Kluyveromyces lactis: one gene and its partner. The protein of the gene in region 1 purifies or fractionates together with the protein of each later gene. This does not show direct contact. Links are inferred from orthologs where the notes say so. Each region holds a gene or a part of one and is shown on either strand. Other genes may lie near its edges.

Evidence for each region. Proteins that work in one complex are often made in the same cells at the same time.
Region 2: the proteins of RRP45 (region 1) and LRP1 purify together in Saccharomyces cerevisiae (affinity purification with mass spectrometry; 4 studies listed by BioGRID). This does not show direct contact. The link is inferred for Kluyveromyces lactis from reciprocal best matches to the Saccharomyces cerevisiae genes RRP45 and LRP1.

The regions. Positions count from the first base shown.
Region 1 is NC_006039.1:951,637-956,325, forward strand, and holds RRP45 (exosome non-catalytic core subunit RRP45), read left to right. Parts: upstream 1-2,420; coding exon 2,421-3,338; downstream 3,339-4,689. Other genes in the region: DDE1 (Dde1p), read right to left, coding at 1-657; RNH202 (Rnh202p), read left to right, coding at 1,066-2,079; KLLA0_C11121g (uncharacterized protein), read right to left, coding at 3,563-3,940. UniProt on the Saccharomyces cerevisiae protein: Non-catalytic component of the RNA exosome complex which has 3'->5' exoribonuclease activity and participates in a multitude of cellular RNA processing and degradation events.
Region 2 is NC_006041.1:1,509,201-1,513,082, forward strand, and holds LRP1 (Lrp1p), read left to right. Parts: upstream 1-2,402; coding exon 2,403-2,936; downstream 2,937-3,882. Other genes in the region: PEX3 (Pex3p), read right to left, coding at 1-990; KLLA0_E16985g (uncharacterized protein), read right to left, coding at 1,435-1,953; DNA protein crosslink repair co-factor UBX5, read left to right, coding at 3,195-3,882. UniProt on the Saccharomyces cerevisiae protein: Required for exosome-dependent processing of pre-rRNA and small nucleolar RNA (snRNA) precursors. Involved in processing of 35S pre-rRNA at the A0, A1 and A2 sites. Required for activity of RRP6 in 7S pre-rRNA processing.

The sequences.
Region 1 (4,689 bases):
CAATGAGATGACATTATTTTGATAATCATTCCTATGTTTAATAGACCGATCACATACAATAATCCATTGGTACCACTTTTCACTACCATTAAGGTACTTAACTGATTCCCAGTCATTGATAAATATGATGTCCACTTCCAAATCGTTTCGCGGAATCGAATGTAAAAACCAAGGTATACAATCTTTCAACGACAGCATTAAGCCGGCAACGCCGACTGAAAATCCCATTGATGAGTCAATTGACGTAGCTATTCCAATCTTCTTAGCACCTATACTTTCAACTTTAACCACAATTCGTTTTGCTATACCATTTATTCTTGTAAGGGTAGTTTCTTCGGTATGGAATTGCAATACAGTCGACTTGCCATTTGTCATAATTGCAGACCATAAATCACCAAAATTACCATTCCTGAGCCTATATCCTAAGCTTAGGTTTAAACCTGTAGTCAATGGAAAAGAAGCTGGGACTAATAGGTTTCTGTAAATAGCAGTTTCATGTTCCTTTCTTACGGACTCAACATTTGATTGTGCGTTCAGCGAAATTGTATGTAGATCTCTTTTGGAGTCAATAATAACCGAATTGATAAACCAAACAGTACTAGCGACGATTACCAAGATAGCAACCAAGTATTTTGAGAAGGTGATCCAGTCCACCATCTTTTGGGAGTGAGTTTACCAACAGCTGTTATTTTATGTAATTACGCGCCGTGCATTTTACTTTGCGTAAACTTCTTCAGTAATTTCAAGTTCCGATATGAATCAGTGTATATATATATATATAATATTTCAGATCCATAAACGAGGAAGAATTGTCAGTTAAACAAAAGTGAAATCTCATAACAAAGCAAATTACATGCCCCTTCCTTTTTGTAGCTGTTCGCTGTATTAAGTGTGCAATAGATTCAGAACGACAGCCGCAGCACACAATTGCGTACATTCATCCAATACTTGGTATATTCCACTGACATTTACAACATTTAACGTGAACGAAACGCGTAAAAAGCATTGTTAACTATCCTAATTAACGATCAAACAACAATCCCCAGCTACATTTCCTTAGTGAATATGACTGTTGAGAAGGTAATAAGGAAAGGATGTCTATTGGTAGCTTTGCCAAATTCAGTGGATTCTCCTGTCGAAATATTTGAACTTCCACATCCATCGAATAACGAATCAAAGAAACCTATCAAACTGTTTGTACACGACGATAAAGTATACCAGCTTAAAATCAAAAAGTTCAGTAAAGGCTGTGACTATAATTGCTCGCGAGATTTAGTGAATGATAAATATCATTATACTTCAGATTCGCAAACATTTAAATCCACATTTTTGATCAATGAAGAGAACAGGAAAGATGGACACATACTAGAAGATGGTTCGATACTATATGCCGAAAAATATGACTTAACTTTTAATATATGTGGGTATTATTATAGGAACAACAAAGTTACTAGTGAGGATCTAGCGTTTATTACACCTTGCGTTCCACCCGCACTCGATATGGATACTAACTTTTATACTAGTTCTGATTACCAAGAGAAATTAACGAATAATCACAGTGAAAATTGGGAGAAGATACCTCCAAAATTATGGGAAAGTTGTCTCGGGAAAATATCACATACAGTGGAAGAAGCTGGTGACAAGTATTATCGTATCGAACCTCAAATGATAGTAGAATGGCTACTGAAGAAAGTCATCAAAATCAACAACAACTTCCCTACTTCTCTTAAAATACCAAAATCGCTACCTGAAGATATAGCATCATCTCTGAAATGCATAATGTCGTGTAATCTTCTAGTTTCCTTGATCCCACAACTCGCATACCAGGATCTAATTAGACATGAATCTTCAAATCTTAACATCAAACAATGTTTCGACTCATACGACAAGTACAAGAACGAAACATTACAAACAGAAAGGGAAAGAGAGCTCCTTATCAAAGCTGCTATGTCTACAGCCATTCCAAATGGCACAAAAACCGTAAAGAAACAACCTATTCAAAAGGCTAAAGTTGTGAAACCAAAGGTTGCTAAGGGTAAAGGAAGAATTGACGGATTCTTCAAAACTAACAAAACATAAGTAAGGGCATATAATAATTTCGTAGAAATATCAGTATTGGATAACCTCTATCATTTTGACCTAAAGCTTCACATAACATGCCGTTGTTGAGCTCTAAAATAATTGATCTTCTTCCACTTAATACCTGTCTACAGGGTCTTCCTCCTAGAGAAACTCGCATCAATTTTGTTTTTATTCCTTTTTCATCTTTCTATCATATCAAATGAGACAAAGCTTATGAAAGATTTAGAACTATAACACTTGAAAAGTTAAAGAGTTGCGATGAGCAGCACTGAAAGAGAAAACCATAGCCGAAGAGAGCTTGCATTCGCATATCAAAATAGTTAAATCGATAAGAGGTGATGGCAAAAGATATAGAGATCAGTAATGCTGAATCCAAATTTATCCTGGAAGCGTTAAAGCTTAAACAAAGATTAGATGGACGTTCATATGACCAATTCAGAGATGTGAAGATCGAAATAGGTGAAGCATACGGTGATGTGACTGTTACCATGGGTAACACAAAGGTACACTGTCGTATCAGCTGTGAAATTGCACAACCTTATGAAGATAGACCGTTTGAAGGACTTTTCCATATAAGTACCGAAACTACACCGATGGCAGGTGCTCAGTTTGAGAATGGGAACAATACTGGAGAAGAAGAGGTATTGATCAGTAGGATGATTGAGAAAGCTGTAAGACGATCAGGAGCATTAGATGTAGAAGGTTTATGCATAATAGCTGGCTCCAAATGTTGGTCTCTTAGAGCTGATGTTCACTTTTTAGATTGTGATGGTGGACTAATCGATGCCAGTTGCATTGCTGTAATGGCTGGGTTACTTCATTTTAAGAAGCCCGACGTTACTGTTCTTGGTGAAAGAGTGACGGTACATCCGATTGATGAAAGAGAACCTGTGTCACTAGGTGTTTTGCATGTTCCAATTTGTGTGACGTTTTCATTCTTCAATCCAGACGATACAGAAGAAAATATCAAAGGTGAGGACAATGCAGAAATATCAATCATCGATGCTTCCTTAAAAGAGGAGCTATTGAGAGATGGTGTGCTTACTGTGACGCTTAATAAAAACAGAGAAGTTGTTCAAATCTCCAAAGCAGGTGGTTTGCCGATGGAAGCTTTGTCGTTGATTGATTGTTGTCATAAAGCATACGGAATTGTAGAAAAAATCACTGATCAAATTCATCGTGTTGTGAAACAAGATACCATTGCAAGAAACCAATACGCACACATTTTGAGCTCTGAAAATGCTCGTGAAACTTAAGGAGCATTGTATCGAAGAACTGGAAGCTTTTCTTCAATTATAGATTAATGCTTATGGTTGTACCATATCCCAAGACACTTGGCAGCTAGAAGTCGTTTAATCCATGCCGTTCAGCGCGTTTGATATTGTTCTGTACTATATGTTGTATGTATGAATATACAAATAATGTATCTGTTTGGTGGATATATGAGAGTGTATGCTGTGAATATCTTAGCGATAGTGAATCAAATATAAAGTCTGGTCATGTCTCTTTCTGTTGAGGAAGTCACTGATTCTTCCCGAGCGTTAAACTTTACAATATGTATTAAATTTGGATATCTGTTCAAGTCGTTCTTTTCAAATTCGAATCCGTTTCGTGAATTAAGTTCGGGATACAAATCTCGTTCATCCAACATCATCATGTGTTTGTCAATAGAAATTTGTGTCTCTGGTGCAGAATTCAAGTACCGCTCTTCTGCCGCCAAAATGTTCTTCGAATTAGCCCAGTATGTTACTGTACAGTATATTATGAATAATAGCACGATACTAACAACAACAAATAGAATGTAGTAGCCGCATATGTACAATATTGGATTATTCCGTTGATCCCATAAATGTGACATTATAATCAATTCACCACAAATATGTCCCAAAATCCATCAATTCGAATAAAGCCTTGAGTGTTTGGAAATTCAACTCCAGTGATCAGGAAGAGTTAATACAATCTGGTATTAGTTGGTATGTACTTTTCACATCGGGTTCTACTTACCTGAATTTAATAATTTATCGATTTATTGTGACACATGACAGAGGTCGGTGATATAGAATATATTGTTCTTAAAGAAACGAGAAAACAAGTTGAAACGGACTGATGTATGACTTTTACTGCAATGAATAGGGGCAAGTTGCGAATACCTATCAATTCGATCATAACCTAGTATATATTGAAAAGTAGTCTCTGGCCAAACCTGTTAGGGATGTCATGTCTTGTCAAGTCAGAGGGACTTTTCAAGGCTACTAAATTTGATATCTCTGCACTAACAAAACCCAAAATATGGAAGAGACGTCTATCTGCTAAAATTGGGGGAATAACCATTAAATGGATGATGAGCTTGAGCCTTAGCTAATTGGCAGGGAAGTTTCCCCGCCGTTCCAATGTCCTTAACAAATTTTGTTGTTATAGTTATTTTATTTCCGTATAACGTGGTTTGATTGTAAAAAGCAACAAGCTGTTCATGCTTAGGGTAAGCTAATACCTGGAGAAAGGGCACAGGGCAGAATTCAGTTGGCTTTTAAAGTTGACACGTCTCCCCCCATTTCAAAGGTGGATTCTTCTCCATTAGTATAAATATCAAGTATGTATCCAGATATA
Region 2 (3,882 bases), on another chromosome or scaffold:
TGGCTGTTGAAAGAATTGCTTGTTTGTGGTGACGAATATCTTGCTTATCTTGCCACTGAACTCATCCATTGTCATGATATCTCTTGGGTTCGAATTTTGGAACTCTTCTTTCACCAATTGTTCAATGATACTCTTGTATTGTAGGTATCCACGGTTTAATAACCACCACGATAAGGATAAGAAAGCTTGTTCGTTAACGTATCTCGATTTTTCAGGGTTCGCAGTGGATGCAATGCTCCTTGTGTCCGTGTCAATAGTACCATCGCTGTTTCTTGGGTCAGCTTTTTCACTGGGTAAATTGTTGCTCTTTTCAGTGATCCAACTAGAGAACCAAGATAAGACTGAGTATTGATTAGCCTTCTTTTCCCTTTCCTTTTCCATGGCAGAATTGATGGCAGTATCCAAATACTCTCTTCTTGCCAATATATTCAATTGCAATCGGGTTAAAAGCATCAATAATGATGTGGTATAGGACAAGATAATGATCTTGGTGATAGCTTTGAGTTTCAAATCGTCCCAAAGCTCGGCCTTGGATTTCGTAGACGTTTCAGAAACGCTAGTGGTATCTGCAGATTGCGGAGATTTCGCTGACACACTGGGTGCAGGCGTCATCGCACTCATTCCTGAACTTAAGCCCTCATTTTCCAACTCATTCCCAGCTATTTCACCTTTGGAAAGCTTCTTCTGTAACTTTTTCCCCTTTAGAGCCTCTACAATAGAATCAAGATCGAAATCCTTAGCCAACACTAACGTCATTACCGGCATCAATTCATAAAGAGTGTACAACGAGTCCTGCTGAGTTTGTACAAACCTCCGTTTGATCTGTTCCTTGACAAATCGTTGCTCCGTCATTTTCAAATGCTGCTTGTACAACCATCTTTTACTGAAATAGACCGTAATAGCGCATGTAGCAAATAGCGTAGCAAACAAAACACTAGAAACAACGAACTTCTTTCTGTGTCTCTGAACCAGAGATCGATTCCCAGTCATGATGAGGGGTAAAAAAATAACTTATAACTTAGAGCAATGTAATTCTTCTATTGATTTTCCACTACAGCCGTTGTCAGATTGCGTGTAGAGCTTTCCTAGTGTCGTTGTTTGTCTTGATACTTTATTGATGTTGATGTTTACTTGCTAGTTAGTTATTTTAATGTTTTTCGAATTTTGTTTCCCCCTCAAAGAGCGACAAATTCGACAGATTTAAGAGAAAACATATACCAAAGAGATAGAATTGCGTTGGGTATTGAACCTCTATGGTTCTGCAACTGGTGCCAACAGATATTTTATAGTGTATCATTACAGCTTTATCTTTTACTATACATATTATATGTGTATATGTGTATAATTGGTCAAAAACGTTCGCATGACTCAAATAAAAGATGGATCATATATGTGATGTGTCGAATCTCAAACGAAAACGAAGATTACATCCACCTATTGGCGTTGCATCTCAGTGAGACGTTTAAGATTGGCCAAGTTCTCCAGGATCTGGCCATCTGAGATCATAATTGGGGTTTGCGTATCGTTGCGGAAGTAATCTTCTGCACTTGTATGTGCTAAAGGTGGACAGAGTCTGAATGAACCAGACCGATCCATTTGATGTTGGAAGGGGGAATTTTCCGAATAGAACGCAGTTCTATCGAGTTTGACTTTGAGATGGTTCTGCTGTTCGTCGTTCCCGTTCTTTTGGTATAGGTTCTGTAGAAGCGGTTGCGGTGGCTGTATTCCAGCCTGAAGCGATGATGACTCGTGGTTCAATAGGAAGGATACGTTCATCTGTTTAGAGTTCCGCTGCAAAAGCTGATCCATTTCTGTGACGACTTTCTGCAAATTTGATGCCAAGGTTGACCATGATTCTGCATCGCTTGGCGAGAGCGAGTGTGCTTGCTCACGATATTTCTCACGAACCTGTCGTAGCTGTGTCTCTATATTCGATAAGTCATCAGCGACCATTATCTATGCTGACGAGAAACAAACTAAAGTACTTCTTGAGCTAGGCCAGTGTTGAAATTAAGTATACTGGCGGAGGGTGGATGTTACTTCAACAGTCCAAATAGGACTACTCGCCCTGTATTGAGTACAGGTTCTCCATATATGTGGTATGAATGTGTGTAATGTCTTGCGTTTTTTTTTTTTTTTTTGGCAGGCAAATATGGAATTTTCGCTGGATAAAGAAATAGAAATATTACTGAAGTACTTCTACGTGCGAAACGCACGCAGATTATTATGCGTTTTGTTCCATTGCGAAAAATTCGCAGTATTATGTTATTGATCGAAAATTTTGATTCAGTGAAGAATACTTCATCTCGGTATTATACAGCTTCATCTCATCTCATCTCATCTCATCTCATCGCTGCCTCAGTCGACAACGACAAGAACACGGACCACATACAACTACCAGCATGGAAGATACTAAGAAAATTAAACCATACATCTCGTATCTCAATAAACAGGTGGAACAACTCAGTGGTGAGATTAACAAACTAACGAGCAAGTCATTGGACGAACAACTGTTGCTTCTGCAAGATGAAAAGAAGAAACTTGATCTTTCAAACAAATACGCATATGTATTGAGTTCACTATGCTTTTCATACATGAAAGTCCTCAATATCAAAGACCTGTCACCTATCATGGCCGAATTGGCAAGGTGTAAGTCATATATGGATAAATCTAAACAGTTAGAAGCTAAGAAAGAATCTGAAGAGAAGGATGAGGTGGAGCAAGAAGAACAAGCAAAAAGAGTTCTACAATCTGCGTTGGGAGGTGGCAAAATGGAACCTGCTATCAGTAAAGTCAACTTTCAGGGGAAACATACTAAGTTTTCGACAGAGGCTTCCACCACCAGCACTGATAAGGATGGACTGGCAAATCGAGTAGTAGACGGAACAAAGAAATCAAAACAGCAAAAACAATCTGGTAAAGTATCGAAGAAATAATTCATCTGAAATATGTCCTGGCATGTTCATCCATGTATTCCTGGGTCTTATTCTGGCATTCTATATTAATAATTAGCATCGCATTTTTCACTGACATAACAAGTTGTATAGTATAAATACACTAAAATTGGGAAACAAAAAGAAGGAAATTCCAGTTGGCAAACGTGAACAAGAATTAACCAAAGATACAGGTTTCAAGTGGCAACAGAGAGTTACAGAGACCAGTAAAAGGATTAAAAGAAGTACATTTCAATAGCCATGATATCTGACGAGGATATTTCAACTTTCCAAGGTGTTTGCGGTACAGATAACGATGAATTGTCAAGACATTTCCTTGAGATGGCCGGAGGCAATTTGGAAACAGCCATCTCGTTATTCTTTGAACATGGTGGTGAGAGACAGTTGAACAGCAATTCTGGTAATAATAATGCCGGTGCTGGTGCTGGTGCTAATACAGGGGGTTCTGGCGGTCTGAGTGGCGACGTAGAGTTTGCTGAAGAATTACAAAGACAAGCGTATCAGGATGAAGATCAATATAGGGCTCCGGATCAGGCAAGACACGAGACATTGGTGGAGACAAATGTGTTTCCTAGTGTTTATGGTGGTATTGGAGGTTCTTTTGAACCATTGCGTAATGCCAGGGATATGTTTGACAATTCAAGACCTTCAGGAATTTTTAATCAACAATTAGACACAGACCTACTACGTTCTGGTAGATCTAACAACTACCATCGGGATGACGATGATGACGATAGTGATTCTGCGTTTACTGATGAAGAAAATTATCCCAGTAATGAGGATGAGTACGAATACGTAGAAGAAAACGTCGTGGAAATAGACGACGATGGTGAACTACGGGAATATACGAAATGGGTTAAGAAGCCAAAACCAATGTCAAAGGAAACCAGGCTAGCATTATTGTTTAGACCTCCATTCGATTTAATGG